Oryctolagus cuniculus: one gene and its partners. The protein of the gene in region 3 interacts with the protein of the main gene of each other region in a biochemical or structural test. Links are inferred from orthologs where the notes say so. Each region holds a gene or a part of one and is shown on either strand. Other genes may lie near its edges. The genes, in order: DTX2, STUB1, RUNX1, ELF2, FOS and CDK1.

Region 1 (4,097 bases), on a different chromosome or scaffold from region 3:
GGGGGCCCACCTGGCGCCAGCAGAGGCGCCTCCCCTAGGGTGCCCGCCTAAAGGAAAGATTTTATTGCTTAATGTTAATCAGGCCAGGTAGTCCATTTGGTGCTGAGCAGAGAGGATTCTCCCGGGAGCTTTCCAAGGTGGGGAGCTGAGACCACCTGGGAAGTTGTCAGGGTCAGGGCAGGACTTTGCAGTGTGAACCCCCGGGCTGCTTCCCAGGTGAGCTGCCGCATTAACAGGAAGTTGAGGTGCCAACTCTAACTCAGCCTTCAGGTACGGGCTCAGGCATCCCAAGCAGTGGCTTATCCTGCGGTGCCACCACGCCTGCCCCATTTTTTAAAATCATTGTATTCCCCCTACTATATATTTTTTAAAAGATTTATTCATTTATTTGAAAGTCAGAGTTACAGACAGAGGAGAGGCGGGGGGGGGGGGGAGGTCTTCCATCCAATGGTTCACTCCCCAATTGGCTGCAATGGCCAGAGCTGAGCCGATCCGAAGCCAGGAGCTTCTTTCGGGTCTCCCACGTGGGTACAGGGGCCCAAGGACTTGGGCCATCTTCCACTGCTTTCCCAGGCCACAGCAGAGAGCTGGATCAGAAGTTTAGCAGCCTGGTCTCAAACCGGTGCCCATATGGGATGCCGGTGCTTCGGGCCTGGGCGTTAACCCACTGTGCCACAGCCCCAGCCCTAACCTACTATATTTCAATTGTGTGTTTATGTTTCAGTCTCCCTAGGTAGATGCAAAGCTCTTCTAGGAGAAAAACACATCTCTGATGTACTTTTCAGTCCTCAGTATGCAGCAGAGCAGGCCCTGGCATCACGCCTACAACAGTAGAACTATTTAAAATGAGTTGAGGGGGCCAGCGCCGTGGCTCACTTGGTTAATCCTCCACCTGCGGCGCCCATATCTAGGTATCAGAATGGAGTGCCTGAGTCCCAGTCCAGCTCCCTGCTACTGTGCACCCTGGGAATCAGCAGACGATGCCTCGAGTACTTGGTTCCTGTCACCCACGTGGAAACCTGGACTGAGTTCTAGGCTTCTGGCTTTAGCCATCCCAGCCCTAGGTGTTGCTGCCATTTGAGGAGTGAACCGGTGGAAGGCGTCTGTGTCTGCTTTTCAGGTAAAAAATAAATAGAAGTTAAAAAGTGAGCCCGTAACGAGTGAAGCAGGAACTCCACGAGGGAATGAAAGAAAACCACACTCACCTGGGCAGGTGCGCCAGAGGCTCCGCCCATCTCCTTCTGCCCCGCCCCCTGACCCAGGCCGGACTACATTTCCCAGAAGGCCCCGCGCGCTGGGCATGCGCGGCGGGGCGCTCGGAAGCTGCGACGCCGAGTTTTACTCTGGCTGGTGTCTCCCGCTAGGAGTCGGGAGCCACAGCCGGAACCCTGCCCGGGCCGAGCCAGAGCTCCGGTCCCGGCGCGTCGGCGTCCTCGCCTCGTCCCCTCGCCCTTCTCAGCCCCGGTGAGAGAAGCGGGCAGGCCTCCCGCTCGTCGGCAGCGTTGGGGGTCCCGAGGGCGGGAGGCGGCGGAGGGAGACCGAGCCGAGCTGGGGCCGGAAGGGGGCGGGCGTGGGAGTGAGGGAGGCCCCGGAGTCCCGGGGGATTGGGAGGAGTGGCTCGCGCGCCCCCGGTCCTGAGGCCGGGAGTCGAGGGGGATTTGGAGGTGCTGGGGGCTCGGGTCGGCGCTGGGCGCTGGGCGCGGGGTCGCAGCGGGAGGAGGGGCGCGGAGGAGTTTGGGTCGGGAGGAGCAGACCCCTTTCCCCAGGACCTGGAGGAGGCGGTGGGCGAGGCTGTGGGTTTTCTCCTGGGTCCGCCCTCAGGTGGAGGAACTCGCCGGGCCAGGGGGGCTGGACTTGGGGAGGAGTTGGCCCCGTCACTCGGCTTCCCCTGCCCCCCCCCCCATCCCCGTCTAACAGTGGGGTCCACCTTCGCCTGAGCTCCCGTTTCGCGGGGTCCCCGGTCACTTGCAGGGATGCGCGAGGGGTGTTGAAGAGGACTTGGGGGGGCACTCGTCCCATCTCTGGAGCTGGGGTTTCATGCCGCCCGCCCTAACCAGCTGCACCGGTTCCACTTCCCAAAGTGCCGGCCGCGTAGACCCCCCGCTCCGCCCCCCCCCCCCCGAAACTCAAATTTCCGCGTGCCGCCCCCAGACCCTCCGGTGTTTTGGGTAGCCAAAAATCAGGGCTCTCGGAAGCTGACCCGGTAGCTGGCCCTCTTGGTCGCTTGCTGTGTGACCTTGGTCAGATTGTCACCCTGTGTGGACTTCCTGGATGTCTAAGCAGCCTGCGGGCTTTTTCAGGCCTCTTCTGTGTGCGGGCTTGGGTTTTTAAAATCCTCTCCTTGCCTTTGAGCGGGCGGGAGGAAAAGAGTCCCGCCACCTTCTGCCCTGCCCGGGCTGTTGGAAAATAAATCGGGTGACTTCCAGTCCCGGGCCACGGCCACAGCGTCTGTGCACCCGCTTCCCCTCCCTGCTGTTTCTCAATTGAAAACCTGATCGCCCTCTTCCTTGTTGGCAAAGGTGCCTTGGAATTCGTGCCGCTGAGTCAGCAAGGCTCTCGGATTTTCCCGGTTCTTGTTGTCTGTGTACCGAGATGGGGACTCGGGCCAGTGCTTCCTCCTGAGGATCTGTGTCTGCGTCAAGAAGGGGCACGGAGAGTGCCGGCCCTCTGGACAGAAGAGGTGAGCGCTGGGGGCTTCACCTCGCTGCCTTCTCGGCCTGGGTTCCGGCAGAGAAGATGGACACCGCGGAGGGTGGAGCTGGGGGTGTCCAGAGTGGAAGCGAGGCCCTGGGTGGGAGTGGGCCGTGGGTGCCGGCTGCCCCAGGTACATCCACGAGCCCTCTTGCGAAGCGCCGCTCCTGCTGAGCCAGACCCAGGAGGCTTTGGGGTGGAGGACGGAAGTCCTGATTTCTGCTTTTGAACTGGAAATTTTCACGTCCTGTGTTGCATAAACCACGCGGAGGGGGGGGGGTGCAGATAGTATCCCTGCCTTCGTGGACGGCACAGGCTGTTCCAAGGCGTCCTTGAGCTGGGGGAACCTCAGGGCAGAGCCCCCCACCCTCTGCTGAGGACACGGGGAGAGGCGCCGGGCAGGGGAGCCAGGGCAGAGCGGGGCCCGGTGTGGGGTGGTGCAGGCGGCAGGAGTAAGCAGGGTCTGAGCCGGGAGGGCTTGTGGTTTGCTGTGGCTTGACCATTGGTGTGCTTGAGGTCCCTGGTGTGGAGGTGGTGGCGTCCCACAGAGCTGAGGCCTACCTAAGGGAAGGAGATGAGCGGGTGCATGCGCCTCTCCTGGGAGAGGATTCCTGTTCCTGAAGGCCGATGGCTGTAAAGCCACTAGCTCCGGGTGCACGGTCCCTTTTTGTCCCTTTTGTGCGGCTGGTTCCCTTTCTGCAGGTGCAACCGAAGGGCCCTCACCAGGATGCTGCCACTGGCCGCGCGGCCCCTCCAGCCACCAGAACCTCGAGCCAAACCCACCTGTTGGCTTTGTCGGTCACCAGCGCCGGTCACCAGCGCCGGGTGTTTTGTGACAGCCCCGCCACGGCTGTGGCATTGGCAAGGTTTCAGCAGAATCCTCGGGGCAGCGTGGCATGGACTGGACTCCCCTTACGGCCGGCGCCTTACACCGTGCCGGCCTCTGGTGGGGGAGGCTAGGTGAGGGCTTTGGCCCTCAGTGGCTTGACGTCCACTTGCAGGGATAAGATGCGGTGGGGGGGCCCTGACGCACAGGCCGCAGTGGGGGTTAAGGGGCTGCTTCCTTCCCTTGGGGTCCTCAAGGCGTTGTGCAGGTGTGTTCAGATTGAGCCCCTGGAAGCGTAGGTGGGGACACCTGGATGGGTGTGGAGGAGGAGGGATTGGAGAGGGGACCTAGGCCTGCAAGTGTTGTGTTGTTGAGGGGGAGGGAGGGAGGGGGCTTCGATTGTCAACCCTGGGGAGTGTGGACTTCCGGCATAGAGAAGCGCCCGCTTGCTTCAGGAGGCTTCCTCCCACCTGTGCCCGAGGTGGGCTGCAGGGAAGCAGAGGTGCAGGCCCCTGGAGTGAGCATCGGGGCTCAGCAGGCGCTCCCAGCCCTGCTCCAGCAGTGAGGCCATGGCAGCCTC
Region 2 (3,517 bases), on a different chromosome or scaffold from region 3:
CTGCAGCTGATGATCGGGGTGCCCCTGGAGATGGTGCACGGCGCGCTGCGCATCAGCCTCCTGTACCTGGCGGGCGTGCTGGCAGGTGAGGCGCCGCGCCCCGGCCCGCCCCGCGCCGCCCGCCGGGCCTCACCCCTGCCCTCCTGGCCCGCAGGCTCCCTGACCGTGTCCATCACCGACATGCGGGCCCCCGTGGTGGGGGGCTCCGGCGGGGTCTACGCCCTGTGCTCGGCGCACCTGGCCAACGTCGTCATGGTAATGGGCGCCCGCGGGGGGCGGGGCGGGCGCCGCGGGCCTGTCTCACGGCCTCTCCGCGCCCCTCAGAACTGGGCTGGGATGCGGTGTCCCTACAAGCTGCTGCGGATGGTGCTGGCCCTGGTGTGCAGTGAGTAGGGGCGGGGCGGGCGGGGCGGGCCCGCGGGCGGGGCGCCGCCCACCTGCCGCCTCCCTCCGCAGTGAGCTCGGAGGTGGGCCGCGCCGTGTGGCTGCGCTTCTCGCCGCCGCTGCCCGCCTCGGGCCCGCAGCCCAGCTTCATGGCGCACCTGGCGGGCGCCGTGGTGGGCGTGAGCATGGGCCTCACCATCCTACGCAGCTACGAGGAGCGCCTGCGGGACCAGTGCGGCTGGTGGGTGGTCCTGCTGGCCTACGGCACCTTCCTGCTCTTCGCCGTCTTCTGGAACGTCTTTGCCTACGACCTGCTGGGCGCCCACGTCCCCCCGCCGCCCTGACCGCCTCCTGGGCACAGGGGAGGCCCTGCCCCCGCCCCGCCCCCGGGTCCGCGGTCCGCGCCTTTTGCAGAGTGAATAAATATTTTACACGGCACCAGGTGGCTGTCCGGGGTCTGGAGGCGTCTCTGCCCCCCGCTTCCCGCGGACCGTGCGGGGCCCTCCCATCTACGAAGGGACTGGGCTGCGGCCCCAGGGGACAGGCGGTGGGTGTCCTGGCCCACGAGTTCGGCCTGCACGCCGTGGGGGAGGGGGCCAGGCTGGGGCCGGTCAGGCACGGTGTCCCACCGCCCATGCCGAGGGGGCGGCGCCGGCGGGGTCGCTCCCACCTGTGCGGACGCTGCCTCACGGGCCGCACAGGGTGCCCGGGCGGCTGCGGCAGCTGAGGCCGTACTCAGCTGCGGGTCAGGGCGTCCTGGGTCGTCTCCGCCGGCGGGGCCCGCCCCCGGGGGCCCGCACGCGCTGCACGCCTCGGCCTCCCGCTGCCCCCATGCCGGGGGCGGGGCGTGCGCGGAGGGGCGGAGCCCGGCCGCAGGGAGGCGGTCCTTCGGAGGCTCCGCGCGGCGGGCCCCGCCCCCACCCCGCCGCAGCGCGCACGCGCGACCCCGCCCCCCGCGGCCGGAAGTTCCGGTGGCGGCGATCCGGGCCGGGCCGAGCGGGGCGCGGGCTGCGGGCGGCCGGGCGCGGAGCCCGCGAGCGGAGCCCAGGCCGTGCCGCGCGGCGCCATGAAGGGCAAGGAGGAGAAGGAGGGCGGCGCGCGGCTGGGCGGCGGCGGCAGCCCCGAGAAGAGCCCGAGCGCGCAGGAGCTCAAGGAGCAGGGCAACCGGCTCTTCGTGGGCCGCAAGTACCCGGAGGCGGCGGCCTGCTACGGCCGCGCCATCGTGAGTGCGCCGCGCCGGGGGCGGGCCTGGCGCCGGGGCGCGGCCCTTCGGGGCCCCCCGGCTTGGGGCGTTTGACTCGGCCCCGGCGGCGGCGGCCGCCCGGGTGCGGGTGCGGTGCGGGTGCGGCCCGCGCGCACGCCCACAGCGCGGCCGCCCGCTCTCCCCAGACGCGCAACCCGCTGGTGGCGGTGTACTACACCAACCGCGCCCTGTGCTACCTGAAGATGCAGCAGCACGAGCAGGCGCTGGCCGACTGCCGGCGCGCGCTGGAGCTGGACGGCCAGTCGGTGAAGGCGCACTTCTTCCTGGGCCAGTGCCAGCTGGAGCTGGAGAGCTACGACGAGGCCATCGCCAACCTGCAGCGAGGTGGGCGCGCGGCGCGGGGCGCGCGGCGCGGCTGCGGGCGGCCGGCCGGGCTGACCGCGCGCCCCGCGCCCGCAGCCTACAGCCTGGCCAAGGAGCAGCGGCTCAACTTCGGCGACGACATCCCCAGCGCGCTGCGCATCGCCAAGAAGAAGCGCTGGAACAGCCTGGAGGAGCGGCGCATCCACCAGGAGAGCGAGCTGCACGCCTACCTCGCCAGGCTCATCGCGGCCGAGCGCGAGAGGTGGGCCCCTCCGCGCGTTTATTGACAGCGGGGCGGGGCGGGGCGGGGCGGGGCGGGTCCTGACGCGCGGCCGCTCGCCCGCAGGGAGCTGGAGGAGTGCCAGCGGAGCCACGAGGGGGACGAGGACGACGGCCACGTCCGCGCCCAGCAGGCCTGCATTGAGGCCAAGCACGTGAGGGCGGCCCGGCCGGCGGGCGCGGGCCCCGGGGGCGGCGGGGGCGGCGGGGGCAGGCGGCGCTGGGCCGGGGGAGGGCCGTGTGCGGCCCCGGGGCAGCGCCCCCTCGCTTCTTCCAGGACAAGTACTTGGCGGACATGGACGAGCTCTTCTCGCAAGTGGACGAGAAGAGAAAGGTGAGCCTTGTCGGCGGGGCCCGTGGGCAGGTGCCGGCCGCCCGCCCACTGAGCGCGCCCTGTGTGCAGAGGCGCGACGTCCCCGACTATCTGTGCGGCAAGATCAGCTTCGAGCTGATGCGGGAGCCCTGCATCACCCCCAGCGGCATCACCTACGACCGCAAGGACATCGAGGAGCACCTGCAGGTGGGTGCGGCCGCGGCGGCCCGGCCGGGCGCCCCGCCCCGCCGCGCCGCTGACCCCGCTGTCCCCGCAGCGCGTGGGCCACTTTGACCCCGTGACCCGGAGCCCCCTGACCCAGGAGCAGCTCATCCCCAACCTGGCCATGAAGGAGGTCATCGACGCGTTCATCTCGGAGAACGGCTGGGTGGAGGACTACTGAGCCCCTGCAAGGCCCGCCCCCGCCCCCGCCCCGGCGCCGCCCCTGTCCTGCAATAAAGTCCGTGAGCACGAGCGCTAGCCCAGGAAGGTGGAGATGAACACGCACGTGTCCAGGTTGAGCGTGGCGTGCCACCAGCGGGCCGGGAAGTACAGCACCTGCGGGAGGGGCGCGGGCGTCAGCGGGGGGCCTCGCCTCCCCCGCCCCGGCCCCGGCCCCGGCCCCGGCCCGGACCTCGCCCGCGGAGATGGTGCACTCGAGCGGCCGCGCGGCCGGGGCCAGGCCTGGGTACGTGTCCCGGAGCCAGGCCAGCGTGGTCTCGTTGGGGTGGAACTGCGGCGTCTTCTCGGGCGGGTACAGGAACCAGCGCTGGGGGAGGGGAAGCGCACGCTCACCCCGGGTCCGCGGGTCCGCGCGCCCAGCCCCTGCCCACGGCACTGACCTTGCGGCCGTAGATGACCTCCGAATACCCGGGCCCGTGCCAGTGGAAGGGCACCCCGGTGCCCGCGCCTGTGGGTTTGGCGGGTGAGCAAAAAACCACACCCCCCTGCCCTGCCCCCGTCCCCGGCTCCCG
Region 3 (4,180 bases):
GTCTGGGAGAAAGCAGTCTCTGGGGTTTCGGTTCCTGCTTCCGTCAAAAGAGGAGTAAGTTAAAAAAAAAAAAAATCGTGTCCGTGGCTTTTGAAAGGCCTGGGAGTCTGAGGGCACGGTTGGGGTGCAGAATTCCGCGGAGGCACCCGTTCCAAGGGACTGTCCTGGGGTTCAGGCTCTGCCGTGGCCTCCCAGGGCAGTGGTGCACCAGCTGGAAACCCAGGGCTGGGGTCTCGGACCCTGCAGTACAGTTTCTCTTGAGCGATGACAAAAAGGATGCTTTTGTTGATCAGCAGGGGAAACCGACAAGCAGGATAAAGCTCCCCAAGGCTGGGGTGGTCTGCACGCCCCCGCACACAAAAGTAGCCTGCTTCTTTAGGACTGACCCATGTGGGCATTGCACAGGCAGAGCGTGAGCTCATGGGGCCCATCAGCCAGCCCCCCCGACAAGGGGCCGCTCCCGAGAAGCCCCTCCTCGGCTTCCTCTGGCCATGGTGAATTCTGGAAGTCTCACCAGCTACCTGCACTGACAGGTGTTTTGGGCCGGTTGAGCTGAGCTAAGCCAAGGCAGGCCCAGGAAGCAGGTCTTCGCAGGTGAAACTCGCTTTTTCCTTAGCCTCCTAACCAGAGTGTGTGTACAAGTGCCAATCCCTGTTCTCAGAGACACAGGGCCTCCACCCCCGTACTGAAACAGAGGTGTGCAAAAATGTCCATGGAGGAGGAAGAAAGCCACATACGTTTGATTTCATTACACGGACACTTTTATCTCAAAAAGGAAAGTGCTCTCCTTTGGACAGGCTTTAAAACACTGATAAATCGCTAGCCCCTTTTAGGGGTCTCTCGCCTAATCTTTTTTTCCCCCTTGTCATTTCACTCACACTGTTACACTCTTGAATAAGGACTGACTTCTTCCCCCACCCCCACCCCCCCACACCCCCTGCCGCCAGCTGATTTTGAGCATTCGAAATGACAGGGTCCACATCCTGTGTATGTAGCATCCCGACGACCGACGCCAGCGTTGAGTTACTATTGAATAGGCAGCAATGAAATCCTTATCAAAATACTCAGTAGCTTCCCAAACCCACAAATACCAAGAGCAGGAGCTGAGCCATCCCTAAGCCAGCAGAGACCCTTGCGATAAGAGGAGAGACCGAGCCACTGTTCTTCTGCATCCCCTCTCTCTTGAAGTCTCTACTGGGCTTTGTGTTTGCACTGCCTGGGGGGCAGGGCAGGTGGGAGAAGGAAGAGAACAGCTCAGAAAGTACAAAAAAAAAAAAAAAAATTGACCTCACTTGGCGTCACATGACTGGCAAGAACCAATGAAGCCAGGCCGTGGAAAGGGGAACAGTTAAATTTGTAATTTGGGCTGTGTGAAAACTTCTTTGGGTCTCACAGACAACCACAGAACCACAAGTTGGGTAGGCTGGCAGTGGCAGGAGGCTCAGCCCAGTGTAGTGGTCAGCCGGCCGGGCGACTCACCCTGAGTGCAAACCACAGGCTATCAGAGTGGCGCACAGCGTCAGCCCACAGCCCCGGCGGGCGCGCTGCTGGGTTTGCTCTTTAACAATTTGAATATTTGTTTGCACCAAGGTACCTTTGTGTTTTTTTTTTTTTTTCGTAGAACTCGGGGAGTCCCAGGAGTACCCAGGCGGAGGTGGGGAGGGGAAGAGATGGAGGGAGCCATGATGGGCGTGAGGAGGTGAAGGCGGTGACCTTTCTTGGTTTTCACTCCTAAGGTAAAAGACACCATTGAACTCCCGCCTTCGGCAGAGGGTGCGATTTCGGGAGGAAGCTATGGCTTCAGACAGCATATTTGAGTCATTTCCTTCGTACCCAGAGTGCTTCATGAGAGGTGAGTACCGTGCTGGTCTTCTGGTATCTGCTTGTGTTCAGCTCTGCGCCCACAGCAAGGGGGCAGAGGGGCGCCTGGGTGCCCGTCTGTGTCGGAGTGGGGGAGGACTTGTCCCCGAGGCCGGTGATTGCAATGCTATTGGATTACCAACTCCTCCGAGGGCAGCGCCGCCGAACTGTTTTTACGCATACTTGGTTAAGCTGGTGAAGTGCTGGGTCAGAGGACGAAGGCAGCGCGGTAGCTCGGGCTGCTCTGGTTTAAAGTCCTGGAGATCAGAATGCTTGCACAAAGCTCCCCCGGGTTTTATGCGTGCCGTCCCTTGCCGGCAATGGAATAACCGTGTCTGAGTTAGCCTGAACTTTGCACGCTGTGTGGCCCGGACGGCAGCCTGCCCTGGGGGCTTAGCAGGCACACACGCTGAGCAAGCCAGCCGGGAAGGGCTGGAGCCAGCGTGGGGCAAGAGGCTCTCGGATCTGCCCTGTGCGTCAGCCAGCCTGGAGGTCTCAGGCTCAAAGTGGCGACTCGGCTATCTCCAACACGCAGAGAGTATTGGAGCCTGGCACACTCGCTTAGGTTAGAGTTGTCAGGTCCAGGCTGTGCTGTTTTCCTGGGCGCCCCCAGGCAAAGAGGCAGCCTGCATCTTTGAAGCGAGAAAGCAGGTTGTGACATCCCAGGGTCTTTCTCTTTCTCTCGAAGAGAGCAAGGAAGGAGTTTCCCAAGTCCAACGAACGTTCTGGCAGCTTGGGTCCGTGGACTGCACGCTCACCAACGGGAGCACTGGTGTGCAAAACCCCTACGCACTTTTGCAACCAGACTCTTGAAACCTGCAAAGCTAGGGCTGAGCAGTGAGTGTGAGACAGTGTGCCGCCCGGAGGCATTTTGTGTATCTTTCGTGGTAAGAGAGGGCAGTGCTTAGCCGAGGAAAAACAGTAACATGAAAGACCATGAAGGCGTCGGAGCACCGGGGCTGGGCTTTGGCCGGTACCTGCAGAATGTGGCTTGATGGTTTGGCAGAGCTGGAGCGGAGTGGGCTTGGATGGAAGACTAATTAATTTTCAGGCTCTTGCATGCCCCCAAATAGTGTCTGCGCCTCGTTCTCTATTCATGCAGTCAAGTGAGCAGGGGAACGTGGCGGGCTTGCCAGCCGCTCGGTCACAGCAGACGCCGCTGGGAGTGCCACATTCCATTTGTTTCTGGATCCCTGAAATTTAAAAACTTGACAAAGATGTGTGTGTGTGTGTGCGCTTGTGCGTGTATGTCTGTGTTTGTGTGTCTGTGCATCTGCGTGTGTGTGCTTGTGTGTCTGTGTGTATGTCTGTGTCTTATTTGTGTGCTTGTGTGTCTGTTTTTTGTGTGTCTGTGTTTGTGCGTCTGTGTCTGTGTATCTGTGTGTCTCATTTGTGTGTGTGTTTGTGTCTGTGTGTGTTTGAGTGTGTGTATATCTGTGTGTCTGTGTGTATCTGTATATGTGTCTGTGTGTCTTGCTTGTGTGTATCTGTGTGTATCTGTGTATGTGTGTGTCTGTGTGTGTGTATCTGTGTGTCTGTGTTTGTGTATCTACATGTGTGCCTGTGTCTGTGTCTGTGTGTGTCTTGTTTATGCGTGTTGGTGCCTCTGTGTGTGTATCTATGTATGTGTGTTCCTGTGTGTGTGTCTGTGTGTCTGTGTATCTGTGTGTGTATCTGTATCTATGTGTCTTGTTTGTGTCTGTGTGTATCTGCATGTGTGCCTGTGTCTGTGTGTGTCTTGTTTATGTGTGTCTGTGTGTGTATCTGTGCGTGTCTTGTTTATGTGTGTTGGTGCCTCTGTGTGTGTATCTGTGCATGTGTGTGTCTGTGTATCTGTATCTGTGTGTCGTGTCTGTGTGTGTGTGTCTGTGTGTCTTGTTTGTATGTATCTGTATGTGTATGTGTGTCTGTGTGTGTCTGAGGGAAAGGGGTAGGTCTAGGCGGACACACAAGACAGCCAGCCGTGAGCTGATCCCCAGCTTCAGCCGGAAGGGTTTCTGAGCGCTCTCCACTGGCAGCGGGGAGTGCAGTCGACTCACGGGGATGTGTGTGAGTCACGCATCGCATCTGGCAGCGTCGTGGGCGCCGTGGGGCCAGGGCCCTGGCTGAGAGGCTGCGCGGGGCTCCCTCGCAGCGTTTCCCCTGGGGAAGCAATATTCGCAGAATAAGAGAAAAACGAGCTTCCTGCCTTCCTGCACTTCCAGCGCCCTCTCCAAGCGCTGACTGTTTCCTCTGTGATCAACCCCAGGAAGGCAGAGGCAGGACATTTTGCTGGGATGTCAGCGTGTAGGGCTGGCCCTGGAAGCCGTCCTTAGAGAAC
Region 4 (2,925 bases), on a different chromosome or scaffold from region 3:
GTCTCCTGAAAGCAGCAACCTCTGTTCGTGGCGGGAAAAACTCATCTCCTATAAACTGCTCCAGAGCAGAGAAGGGTGTAGCTAGAGTTGTGAATATCACTTCCCCTGGCCACGATGCTTCATCTCGGTCTCCTACTACCACCACATCTGTATCTGCAACGGCGGCTCCAAGGTAAGTGAGGCACACTATTAGTTGTTATGTATTTATCTTTTTAAGAAAGATCCTTGGTAAAAATTATATATCCATTTGTTTAATACATATTAGCATGCTAAGAACTTGATGTCAGGATTTCAAAAACTGCCTGACATTTTTAAGTGTATTGTTGTTAAAGTAGGTATCTTGACTAAAATGATTTGTTTTTTACTTCATTTGGGCTTTAGCTTTTGTTTTTGTTTTTTGTGTTTTTTTTAAAAATGTATTTGTTTCAAGGCACTTCAGATTCTAAACTGCCAGGATTGCCAACACTTGTGAAATTTCAGAGCACTGCTTCTACTTCTATGCAGTTTGAGTTTGCATTCCTCTTTTTGCATAGAAGACTATGTTCTAATTGAGAGTTAAATGTAAATAAACTCCTTTCTTTTTAATCTACTAGGACAGTTCGTGTGGCAATGCAAGTACCTGTTGTAATGACATCATTGGGTCAGAAAATTTCAACTGTGGCAGTTCAGTCAGTCAATGCAGGTGCACCGTTAATCACCAGCACTAGTCCACCGACAGCAACCTCTCCAAAGGTAGTCATTCAGACAATCCCTACTGTGGTGCCAGCCTCTACTGAAAATGGAGACAAGATCACCATGCAGCCTGCCAAAATCATCACCATCCCAGCTACACAACTTGCACAGTGTCAACTGCAGACAAAGTCAAATCTGACTGGATCAGGAAGCATTAACATTGTTGGAACCCCATTGGCTGTCAGAGCACTTACCCCTGTTTCAATAGCCCATGGTACACCTGTAATGAGACTATCAGTGCCTACTCAACAGGCATCTGGCCAGACTCCTCCTCGAGTTATCAGTGCAGTAATAAAAGGGCCAGAGGTTAAATCAGAAGCAGTGGCAAAAAAGCAAGAACATGATGTGAAAACTTTGCAGCTGGTAGAAGAAAAACCAGCAGATGGAAATAAGACAGTGACCCACGTGGTGGTTGTCAGTGCGCCTTCAGCCATTGCCCTTCCTGTAACTATGAAAACAGAAGGTCTAGTGACATGTGAGAAATGAAATAGCAGCTGTACCATGGACTTAGACTGTTAATGGTAGTACTGATGATAAACATTTGCAAAGGAAGTCATCAAGACAAGTCCAAGGAAGACTTTAAAGCTTTGTATTGCATATAAGAAAACAATCAGACTTACTGGAAATATATTACCTATCCCATGTTTCAGTGGGAGATGAGCTACATGTTGAGATGCTGACAGAAAACTGCCTCTTACAGTAGGAAACAACTGAACCCATCAATGAGAAAAAGGATTGAAAGGGACCAAGCAGCTCACTACAATATCAAGTTACACTAAGACTTGGAACACTAACTTTCTGTAAGAGGTTATATAGTTTTCAGTGGGGAGGGGTTGGGATGGGTGATCTCATTGTTACATATAGCAATTTTTGATGCATTTTATATGCATACCAGCAATTATTACTGTGTTCGCACAGTTCTCACTTAACTGGTGCTATGTGAAGACTCTGCTAATATAGGTATTTTAGAATGTGAATTGAAGAATGGATCCAAAAGCTTCAGAAAGAGGATAGCAAAAAAAGATCTAGTGCGAATTTTTTTTTATATATATATATCATATAGCTTAAGCTGATTTAAAACAAAGGCCTTAGACTAATTTTCGGTTTTCTTTCTTGAAATAAGCTAATGGCTTGTTTGTGTAAAGCTTTTTTATTAAAAGAAAAATTTTAAAAATCTTGTACCTAGCACAGTATTGTTATAGAATTTACATGTAACATTTTATATGGTAGTTTAAGTCTGTCAGTTTCTTAATTGTGGACAAATTAACAGTTGGCCCTGGCCTTTTGCTGTAACATGCCTGTGTCACTCACTTAGCCCTGGCGTCTGTGCAGACATATCAGTTTCAGTTCTACGGTCACTTGGAAGTTCAGGCTCAGCATGAATTTTTGTCAGGTAGCTCTAATACCTGGAGCTAGCTAGCTAGCTTCTCTCTCTCTCTCTCTCTCTCTCTCTCTCTCTCTCTCTGCCATCCTCCTTTCCTCTCCCCCCTTCCTTCTCTCTCTTTCCTTTCCTTTCTTTTCCTTCCTTCTGTTATTTTATTTTTTAGTTGAAGTTTTAAGAGGGAAAGTACCAGTGTTCAGATTTGAACTATAATAGTTTGTATATTCAACATTTGAAGTATATTCTATTTTGTTGTACTCTTGTTTCAAAGTGTATTCAAGTAGGTTTTCTGAAATATAGAAATGAAATTTATCTTGTGCTTTGGTCTCTGGTGATATTTTTAACAATATTCAAAAGCCAGCATAGAGATGTTTTGTAGTTAAGAAGTAATAGCAGTCTCGTTTCTCCTTCCTGTTTTGTGAAGAAATTCTACTTTGTTTCATTCCATTGTATTAATATTTGGCAGATATCTGCATGTCACCAATTCCTTTTCCACCATCATCACAAACTATAATGTTCTACCTACAATAATGAATTTAGTATTATAGTTGGCTGTACCTAAAGAACTTTTTTCAAATTAGACCATTTGTTTCTCAGTCAGACCTTTTGAGGGTAAGAAGAATAAATCATGTTTTAGTATTTTTACAGATTAGCAAATTGAAGTACCAGCAGGATTACATGAATTACCGAATTTCACACAAAACTGGGTCCTACCAGTCTGCATCTTAATGCTTTTTCTACAATAGAGAAAAGTTGTCTGCTTTTTAGGAATTTACACGAGGTTATACTAAATATTTTTTGGCCTTTATGCA
Region 5 (4,217 bases), on a different chromosome or scaffold from region 3:
TGACCCTGCCTCGCCCCTCCCCGGGAGCGGGTCCTCGGCTGGCCGCGACCCCTAGGCCCCCAGAGTGGGTCAGAGGACTCAGGGGTCCTGCAGAGGGACCTGCGCCGTTGCACTCCAGGGGTGTCCGGCGCGCCGGGGCCCAGCTGGGACAGTGTGACCCCGGCGGTCCTTTGCAGCCCAGCGGGAGGCTGGGGGCGTTGGGGGGGCGTGGCGCGTTCTGCAGCACCTGCTCGGCCCCCAAGACCTCCAGGTTTCCAGGGCCCGGGCCTCGAGGCCTCCCGCCTGGATACTGCTGGGCACCATTCTTCCATTCCCCTTGCTGCCCGCCTCCCATCCGAGCTGGAAAATCACCCGCTGCGGGCTCCTTGGGAGCCCAGTTTCCTGGCGGAACCGACCCGGCCCCCACCGCACCCCCAGCTCTGACTTGCGTTCCCTGGCGGCTCAGTCCACCTTGGGGCCCCGCACAGGCCACCCACCCCCAGGACGCCGCTCGGAACGCGGCTGACGACCCCTTGGCATCCTGGCGCGGGGGTCTGTATGACGTATATGGACGGGCGTCCCAGGGATTGGACAGTAACACTAACACCCCCACGTTCGGCCCAGAAGAAAAAAACAAGTGCGCTGCCTTCCTCCAAACACGAAAACGAATCAGTAAAAATCAAAGTACCCCCGCCTCGCAAATCAAGCCGGGCTACCGTATTTCATTTTAGACCCATCACGTTCTGCTTCCAAACGTAGTAATGATCCTGGGACCCTGGGGGCTCGGGGGCTCAGGGGCTCGGGTCTGGGGCCACATTTTGCACCCAGCTAGGGCGAGGGTCGGGAATGGGGGCTGCGTGCGTTCCTCTGCGAGCCGCGCTTGCGCCCTCGGGGCCGTGTACCTGTTCCTCCAGTACTTGAGCCTCAGAACCAACCCTAGTCCCTGCACCGGGGTGAGAGGCCGGCCTCCGTCCCATCCCCCACGACCCCAGGAACAAGGGTCCGCAGCGTGCCCAGTGGGAATGTTCGCTCGCCTTCTCCGCCTCTCCCGCCTCCCCTCCCCCGCCCCGGCGCGGCCCCCGCTTCCCCCCCGCGCTGCACCCTCAATGTTGGCTGCAGCCCGCGAGCAGTTCCCGTCAATCCCTCCCCCCTCTACACAGGATGTCCATATTAGGACATCTGCGTCAGCAGGTTTCCACGGCCGTCCCGTGTCGCCGTGGGGGGAGCCACCCCCGAAGACCCTCTTCTCGGGGGTCTGAGACCCCTCCGGGACCCTCATCTCGCCACGCCCGCAGAGTAAGGACTCACAGGCATACCGGGGCGGGGGCTGCGCGCGGCTGGGGGTGGCCGGGTCGCAGCGGCGCCACCCCAGCCGGCGCGCCACCCCTCCAGCGCCACATGGTTGCGCCCGGTGACGCCGTTGGGCTCATTCACAAAATGCTGTTATAAAAGCGGTGGCTGCGGCGCCTCGTACTCCAAGCGCCTCTGCAGCGAGCAGCCAAGAACCTGAGACAGAGCCGGCGGCCGCTGCATAGCGAGCGAGCAGTGACCGCGCTCCGACCCAGCTCTGCCCCAGCCAGCGCTCCGCCGGCCTCGGTGCCCAGGCCCCTCGCCCAGCTTGCCCTCCCTGCGACCATGATGTTCTCGGGCTTCAACGCCGACTACGAGGCAGCGTCTTCCCGCTGCAGCAGCGCCTCGCCAGCCGGGGACAGCCTCTCCTACTACCACTCCCCAGCCGACTCCTTCTCCAGCATGGGCTCCCCGGTCAATGCGCAGGTGAGGGCGCACTGGCGCCTCCGTGGGGCCCGGGACCCGGGGGGTCGCCAGGGTGGGAGGCTGCCGCGGCCGGAGCAGCCCCAGTCTGGGAGCGCGGGGCTTGTTGTGAGCGCACGCTCGCCAGTCGTCATAGTAAGCCATGCCTGCCCCTCTGCCCGGCGGGTCCGCGCCGGGCAGCCCCCTGCCCGCCCTCTGCGACCGGGGCGGACGTGAGCCCAGGGAGAGACTCGCCAGGTGGAGGTCCGGCTCCTTTGGGGCAGGCGGCAGAGGGCGGCCCGGAGCCGGGAGGAGGGGCGCGGGAGGAGGGTGCGTAAGGCAGTTTCATTGATAAAAAGCGAGTTCATTCTGGAGACTCCGGAGCGGCGCCTGCGTCAGCGCGGACGTCAGGGATATTTATAACAAACCCCCTTTCCAGCGAGTGATGCTGCTGGAGAAATAACGGGAACACGGCCGCGGGCTGGAGACAGGAGGCGCCGCGTTGCGGAGACCTTGCGGGCAGAGGGCAGAGCTTCCAGCCGGGATGGGAACTAACAGACCCCGCAGGCGCCGTTCCCCGGCTGCTGCATGCGGCAGGCGCTGGGAACCCGGCGCGCCCCACCTGTGAACGCAACCCGCGCGCTCACGGCGGCTTCTCCTTCTGTTTTCTTCCAGGACTTCTGTTCGGATCTGGCCGTCTCCACTGCCAACTTCATCCCCACCGTGACTGCCATCTCGACCAGCCCGGACCTGCAGTGGCTGGTGCAGCCCACCCTGGTCTCTTCCGTGGCTCCGTCGCAGACCAGAGCCCCCCACCCTTACGGAGTCCCCGCCCCCTCGGCTGGGGCTTACCCCCGGGCTGGAAACGTGAAGACCCTGACCGGAGGCAGAGCTCAGAGCATCGGCCGAAGGGGCAAGGTGGAGCAGGTGAGGGGCGCCTCTGCACCTTGGGGGGTGGGGGAGGCGGGTCACGGGGACAGCAGCGGAGATTGGGGGAACCCAGCAGCGAGGATGAAGCCAGAGTGGGAATTGTCTGTGCATCCCATCCCGAGCCAGGAAGCCTGGCTCCAGGCCAGACTCCGATAGTCCCGCCCCCAAGAAGTCCGTCTGTAGTTTTCTTCCCTGATAGTTTCCTGTCGCTGGCGCCCTCAGCCTGGGCTCATCTTTGTTCTTGGGCTGAGGATCTGATTTTAAATGCAAGTCACACCCCGCCTGCGACTGCAGGTTAGAAATACTCGTCAGAGGAGGTGCCAGGGAGCTGGGAGGCGGCAGGAGCCAGCTTCCCCGAAGTGGTGGCTGTCACTGTTACTGAAGCGCTCTCTGCTTGGTGTCGTTGTAGTTGTCACCCGAGGAAGAGGAGAAGAGGCGAATCCGAAGGGAAAGGAATAAGATGGCTGCAGCCAAGTGCCGAAACCGGAGGCGGGAGCTCACCGATACCCTGCAGGCGGTAAGTAGACCCCAGGGGTCACACCTTTCGAAGTTCGAGGCTGGGCCCTGGAGTGTGACCGAGTCTCATGCTGTCTCCATCCTTCCCCAACACAGGAGACAGATCAGCTAGAAGACGAGAAGTCTGCGCTGCAGACGGAGATCGCCAACCTGCTCAAGGAGAAGGAGAAGCTGGAGTTCATCCTGGCAGCCCACCGGCCCGCCTGCAAGATCCCCGATGACCTGGGCTTCCCCGAGGAGATGTCCGTGGGATCCCTGGATCTGAGCGGGGGCCTGCCCGAGGCTGCCACCCCGGAGTCCGAGGAGCCTTTCAGTCTGCCCCTCCTCAACGACCCGGAGCCTAAGCCCGCAGTGGAGCCCGGCAAGAACCTGAGCGGCATGGAGCTGAAGGCCGAGCCCTTCGATGACTTCCTGTTCCCAGCGTCATCCAGGCCCAGCGGCTCGGAGACGGCACGCTCTGTGCCGGACGTGGACCTGTCCGGTTCCTTCTATGCCGCAGACTGGGAGCCCCTGCACAGTGGCGCCCTGGGGATGGGGCCGATGGCTGCGGAGCTGGAGCCCCTGTGCACCCCGGTGGTCACCTGTACCCCAAGCTGCACCACTTACACGTCTTCCTTCGTCTTCACCTACCCCGAGGCTGACTCCTTCCCCAGCTGCGCCGCGGCCCACCGCAAGGGCAGCAGCAGCAACGAGCCCTCCTCTGACTCGCTCAGCTCCCCGACACTGCTCGCCCTGTGAGCCGGCCGGGCTGGGGAGGCAGCCGGCGCGGCGCCCTGCCTCTGTCCGGAGTTGGTGCATTACAGAAAGAACCACGTCTTCCCTCGAGGGTTCCGGTAGACTAGGGAGGACGCGATCTGTGCGTGAAACACACCAGGCTGTGGGCCGCAAGGACTGGAACGCACCCGCGTGTGGACCCGAGTCCTTACCTCTTCCGGAGATGTAGCAAAACGCATGGAGTGTGTGTTGTTCCCAGTGGCACTTCTGAGAGCTGGTAGTTAGTAGCATGTTGAGCCAGGCCTGGGTCTGTGTCTCTTTTCTCT
Region 6 (3,500 bases), on a different chromosome or scaffold from region 3:
TATTTATTTGGAAGGCAGAGTGACAGGTCTTCCATCTGCTGGTTCACTCCCCAGATGTCTGCAATAGTCAGGGCCAGGCCAGGTGGAAGCCAGGGTGTAGGAGCCTAAGTGCTCTGGCCATTATTCTCCTTCCTCCCAGGTATATTAGCAGGAAGCTGGGTTGGAATTTTAGTGACTGGTACTCTGAACCAAGGTGCTCTGCAGCTGTCCCAAGTGGCAGCGTCAGCCTCTGAACGCATTAGCTTTGTTCTAAGTTAGAAATGGTATCATCATGATTGAATATACAGAACTGTTGGCTTAATTCTAGATTACTAATAAATTATTATTTGACTAGTTACATGCTAGCAGTAAGCAGTGCAGCAGTTTGTATAGTGTCACTCCTAAATCCACTGTCATTTTTTTAAAATATAACATGCTTTGATGATCTCATTTTAATGATAAGAAAAACAAGAAAGATTTGGTATGCTTTTGTCTGTTTTTCTCTTGATGTGTAGAAGTTAGAAGTGACATTCAATTTAGTGTTCTGTATATAGTTTATTAACTTGGTGTTAACAGCTTTCTAAAGAGCCAGCCTAATGAAATATAAGTGTTTAAATGTAGGTAATTTGGTGCACCATGTTTATTTTCTGTAAAAATTTGCTTTGTAATAGGTAGTAACACTCTGGTATAGATCTCCAGAAGTATTGCTGGGGTCAGCTCGTTACTCTACTCCAGTTGACATTTGGAGTATAGGCACCATATTTGCAGAATTAGCAACTAAGAAACCACTTTTCCATGGAGATTCAGAAATTGATCAGCTCTTCAGGATTTTCAGGTATTTATTTATACCAAAATTGCTACCATGTTTGAAGTAATGCAGGCAACATGTATGTAAAAAGATGATATTTATGCTTTAACTGATGTTATGTTTTGCAATGGCTTTTAGAGCCTTGGGCACGCCCAATAACGAAGTGTGGCCAGAAGTGGAATCCTTACAGGACTATAAGAATACATTTCCTAAGTGGAAACCAGGAAGCTTGGCATCTCATGTCAAAAATTTGGATGAAAATGGCTTGGATTTGCTCTCGGTAAGCAGTGCCGTTTATACTTTAACCTTACTGATGATTCTGCACATATTCATTCAGTCCTTTGTTTACCTGGGGAATACTCTATTGTGTTACTGCCCCGTTTTAGACATCAAGAAACAGTAGTGGTTTTGAGAAGGGTTTTGGTTTTTGTTATGTGAGATGACTATAGGCAGTTTGAATTGCTAAGTTGTGGTGGCTTCCTTCTCAGCTTTTTTTGTCATTTACTATTAATTCCTTTTTAGTCTATCTTAGTCAAGTATTTTCTTACTGCCTGCTGTTTTTAGTTAATAAAGGAGTTTACAGCATGAATTCCATATCTCACTTGTTTCTCTATCAGAAAGGTTAGAATTGCTGTATCTCTTAAAAATCTTTCTCTTCTTTCACATTACTTCTGCCATTTAATGATTTTCTTTACAAATAAGCAAAAAATAGAGTAGAACCTCTTAGGATGGGAAAGGCCTTCTCCAGGAAGCTTACCATCTGTAAATCATACAACCAAATTAAGGTCAGATTTAGATTTTTCTCAGTTGCTTATAGTGACTGCCAGAGTCCTTTATCTGCCATTCAGGTCTTTGGTACAGTATGCTAGTATTGTTGATTGGACTTGAGGCTCTTCTACAGTTCTGGCCAGGCTGCTCTTCTGACTTCTACAATTCTTTGATTTTATTTCAGTTAAGGAAACAAAAGTCAAATACCGGAAAGTGGGTTTCTCTGTAGCCATAATTGACATCTTGATCCACATAGTTGTCCTGTGCATCACAGCATGTTTAGCAGCATCTATGCCCTCTACCCTCTAGATGTCAGTAGAACACTCTCCCCACTTAGGACAGCCAAAATGTCTCCTTATGGGCAAAGTCTTCCCCAGTTGAACCATCACTGCACTTCTTAAATTGGACATGATTTCCTATTTGTCATTCCTTAGCTATTATATGATCTTGGGCAAATGAACGCCTTTGAGCCTCAGGGTCCTCATTTGTATAGTGGGACTAATGCCAATCTTGTAAGGGATAAGTAGCCAAAACACTTCATACAGTGCTGAATACCTAAGGGTTAGGATGATGATTTGTTAGTAAAAGTATCTGTAGTCTGCTTCTTGATTTGATTTTCTTTTTTAAGATTAATAGTTCTTTCAGATAAAATTTAAAATCCGTCTTCAACTTTTTAGCTTTTTTGGTGATGTGTAAATTAACTTTAATACTAGGTTGTTTGACCGTTATTCATTTAGTGACTCATTTTTGGCCATGTGTATAACACATTATGCTGTGGATTTTCTCTTTAATGTGGAACTTGTTAGAAGCTATAGCAGAAACAACTGTAGTTAATTGTCACCATTGAAGAACGTTATAAATAACTCAGATGGTCATTTAATTCTCAGCATAAATATAATTAACTAGGTATCTTTCCTAAATTTATGTGATGCTTTTAAAGCTATCTTTGAATACTTGGGTCTTAGGATAATTTAACAAAAATTATTGTGATATTTATGATTTAGGAGCTACAGGGTGAACTCTGAGGGATAAGACATTTATGTAATAAATTAATGGAGATGTTCTTTTAGTAGATTTTCACTGAAATTATTAGGGCTTATTGATAAAAAAAGTTAAGGATTAAAGGAGATTTTAAAAAATGACTCATTTAATAAATAAGTATCTTTTTTCTTTTCCCCCTCCAGAAAATGTTAGTCTATGATCCTGCCAAACGGATTTCTGGCAAAATGGCACTAAATCATCCATATTTTAATGATTTGGACAATCAGATTAAGAAGATATAGCTCTTTGCCATTTCCACATTTGACGTTTCCAGATTGCTACACCGAGAATGAATAGTTGTATTTTTACTGTTAACTCTATTTTTGTCTTGTATATTTTTCTTTTCTATGTTGTAAAACTTAAGCTGTTCTTCTTTTTTCAAAACTGTAACTTAAAAATGTAAATATTGTTCTATATGAATTTAAATATAATAATTCTGTATATGTGTGTAGATCTTTCTGTAACAACTTTGTTACTATAATAAAACAATCAATCTAATATTGATGTCAGGAATTGAAGAAAATTTGAGGTAGCTTAAATCAGCTCAATCTTTACAGCAGTTCTGTTTTATATATAGTTGGAACTACTAAAATGTAGGAAAGTATACTAAGTTCCAAGTTTCATAATGCTTTGAAGAATTTTTATGCTCTGTGTTTTCTTGCCATATGGTAACTATACAACCTGCCTAAAGATGAATATTTTTCTGCTGGTATTTCAATTTGTGACTTAAATGTTTAAGCATCAGGATGGGAACACTAGACAGATTTGAAAAATAATGCTAAATTTATAGGAGTTTTCAGTAACTTATAAAACTAACATTAGAGCATGCCAAAGTTTGCTAAGTTTTACAGTCAAAGATCAAGGGCTGTCCACAGCAGGGAAGAACAGTTGTGAAAATTTATGA

The links.
Region 1: the proteins of RUNX1 (region 3) and DTX2 form a complex in vitro, tested with the Homo sapiens proteins (2 studies listed by BioGRID, with this or other methods). The link is inferred for Oryctolagus cuniculus from reciprocal best matches to the Homo sapiens genes RUNX1 and DTX2.
Region 2: the proteins of RUNX1 (region 3) and STUB1 form a complex in vitro, tested with the Homo sapiens proteins (3 studies listed by BioGRID, with this or other methods). The link is inferred for Oryctolagus cuniculus from reciprocal best matches to the Homo sapiens genes RUNX1 and STUB1.
Region 4: the proteins of RUNX1 (region 3) and ELF2 form a complex in vitro, tested with the Homo sapiens proteins (2 studies listed by BioGRID and IntAct). The link is inferred for Oryctolagus cuniculus from reciprocal best matches to the Homo sapiens genes RUNX1 and ELF2.
Region 5: the proteins of RUNX1 (region 3) and FOS form a complex in vitro, tested with the Homo sapiens proteins (2 studies listed by BioGRID). The link is inferred for Oryctolagus cuniculus from reciprocal best matches to the Homo sapiens genes RUNX1 and FOS.
Region 6: of the proteins of RUNX1 (region 3) and CDK1, one has a biochemical effect on the other in vitro, tested with the Homo sapiens proteins (2 studies listed by BioGRID). The link is inferred for Oryctolagus cuniculus from reciprocal best matches to the Homo sapiens genes RUNX1 and CDK1.

The regions. Positions count from the first base shown.
Region 1 is NC_091450.1:44,162,887-44,166,983, reverse strand, and holds the start of DTX2 (probable E3 ubiquitin-protein ligase DTX2), read left to right. Parts: upstream 1-1,297; 5' UTR 1,298-1,464; intron 1,465-1,576; exon of another isoform or gene 1,577-1,664; intron 1,665-2,519; exon of another isoform or gene 2,520-2,680; intron 2,681-4,097. UniProt on the Homo sapiens protein: Regulator of Notch signaling, a signaling pathway involved in cell-cell communications that regulates a broad spectrum of cell-fate determinations.
Region 2 is NC_091450.1:34,026,459-34,029,975, reverse strand, and holds STUB1 (E3 ubiquitin-protein ligase CHIP), read left to right. Parts: upstream 1-1,450; coding exon 1,451-1,606; intron 1,607-1,773; coding exon 1,774-1,972; intron 1,973-2,047; coding exon 2,048-2,213; exon of another isoform or gene 2,214-2,297; coding exon 2,298-2,385; exon of another isoform or gene 2,386-2,507; coding exon 2,508-2,750; exon of another isoform or gene 2,751-2,820; coding exon 2,821-2,946; 3' UTR 2,947-3,017; downstream 3,018-3,517. Other genes in the region: RHBDL1 (rhomboid-related protein 1), read left to right, coding at 155-255, 325-385, 457-1,111; JMJD8 (jmjC domain-containing protein 8), read right to left, coding at 3,021-3,101, 3,178-3,312, 3,386-3,453. UniProt on the Homo sapiens protein: E3 ubiquitin-protein ligase which targets misfolded chaperone substrates towards proteasomal degradation.
Region 3 is NC_091435.1:10,027,676-10,031,855, forward strand, and holds the start of RUNX1 (runt-related transcription factor 1), read left to right. Parts: upstream 1-1,380; 5' UTR 1,381-1,590; intron 1,591-1,736; 5' UTR 1,737-1,794; coding exon 1,795-1,852; intron 1,853-4,180.
Region 4 is NC_091439.1:25,673,940-25,676,864, forward strand, and holds the end of ELF2 (ETS-related transcription factor Elf-2), read left to right. Parts: coding exon 1-172; intron 173-593; coding exon 594-1,218; 3' UTR 1,219-2,425; downstream 2,426-2,925. UniProt on the Homo sapiens protein: Isoform 1 transcriptionally activates the LYN and BLK promoters and acts synergistically with RUNX1 to transactivate the BLK promoter. Isoform 2 may function in repression of RUNX1-mediated transactivation.
Region 5 is NC_091451.1:21,316,140-21,320,356, forward strand, and holds the start of FOS (protein c-Fos), read left to right. Parts: upstream 1-1,417; 5' UTR 1,418-1,614; coding exon 1,615-1,755; intron 1,756-2,406; coding exon 2,407-2,658; intron 2,659-3,070; coding exon 3,071-3,178; intron 3,179-3,273; coding exon 3,274-3,915; 3' UTR 3,916-4,217. UniProt on the Homo sapiens protein: Nuclear phosphoprotein which forms a tight but non-covalently linked complex with the JUN/AP-1 transcription factor. In the heterodimer, FOS and JUN/AP-1 basic regions each seems to interact with symmetrical DNA half sites.
Region 6 is NC_091446.1:53,173,969-53,177,468, forward strand, and holds the end of CDK1 (cyclin-dependent kinase 1), read left to right. Parts: intron 1-650; coding exon 651-814; intron 815-925; coding exon 926-1,067; intron 1,068-2,739; coding exon 2,740-2,838; 3' UTR 2,839-3,094; downstream 3,095-3,500. UniProt on the Homo sapiens protein: Plays a key role in the control of the eukaryotic cell cycle by modulating the centrosome cycle as well as mitotic onset; promotes G2-M transition via association with multiple interphase cyclins.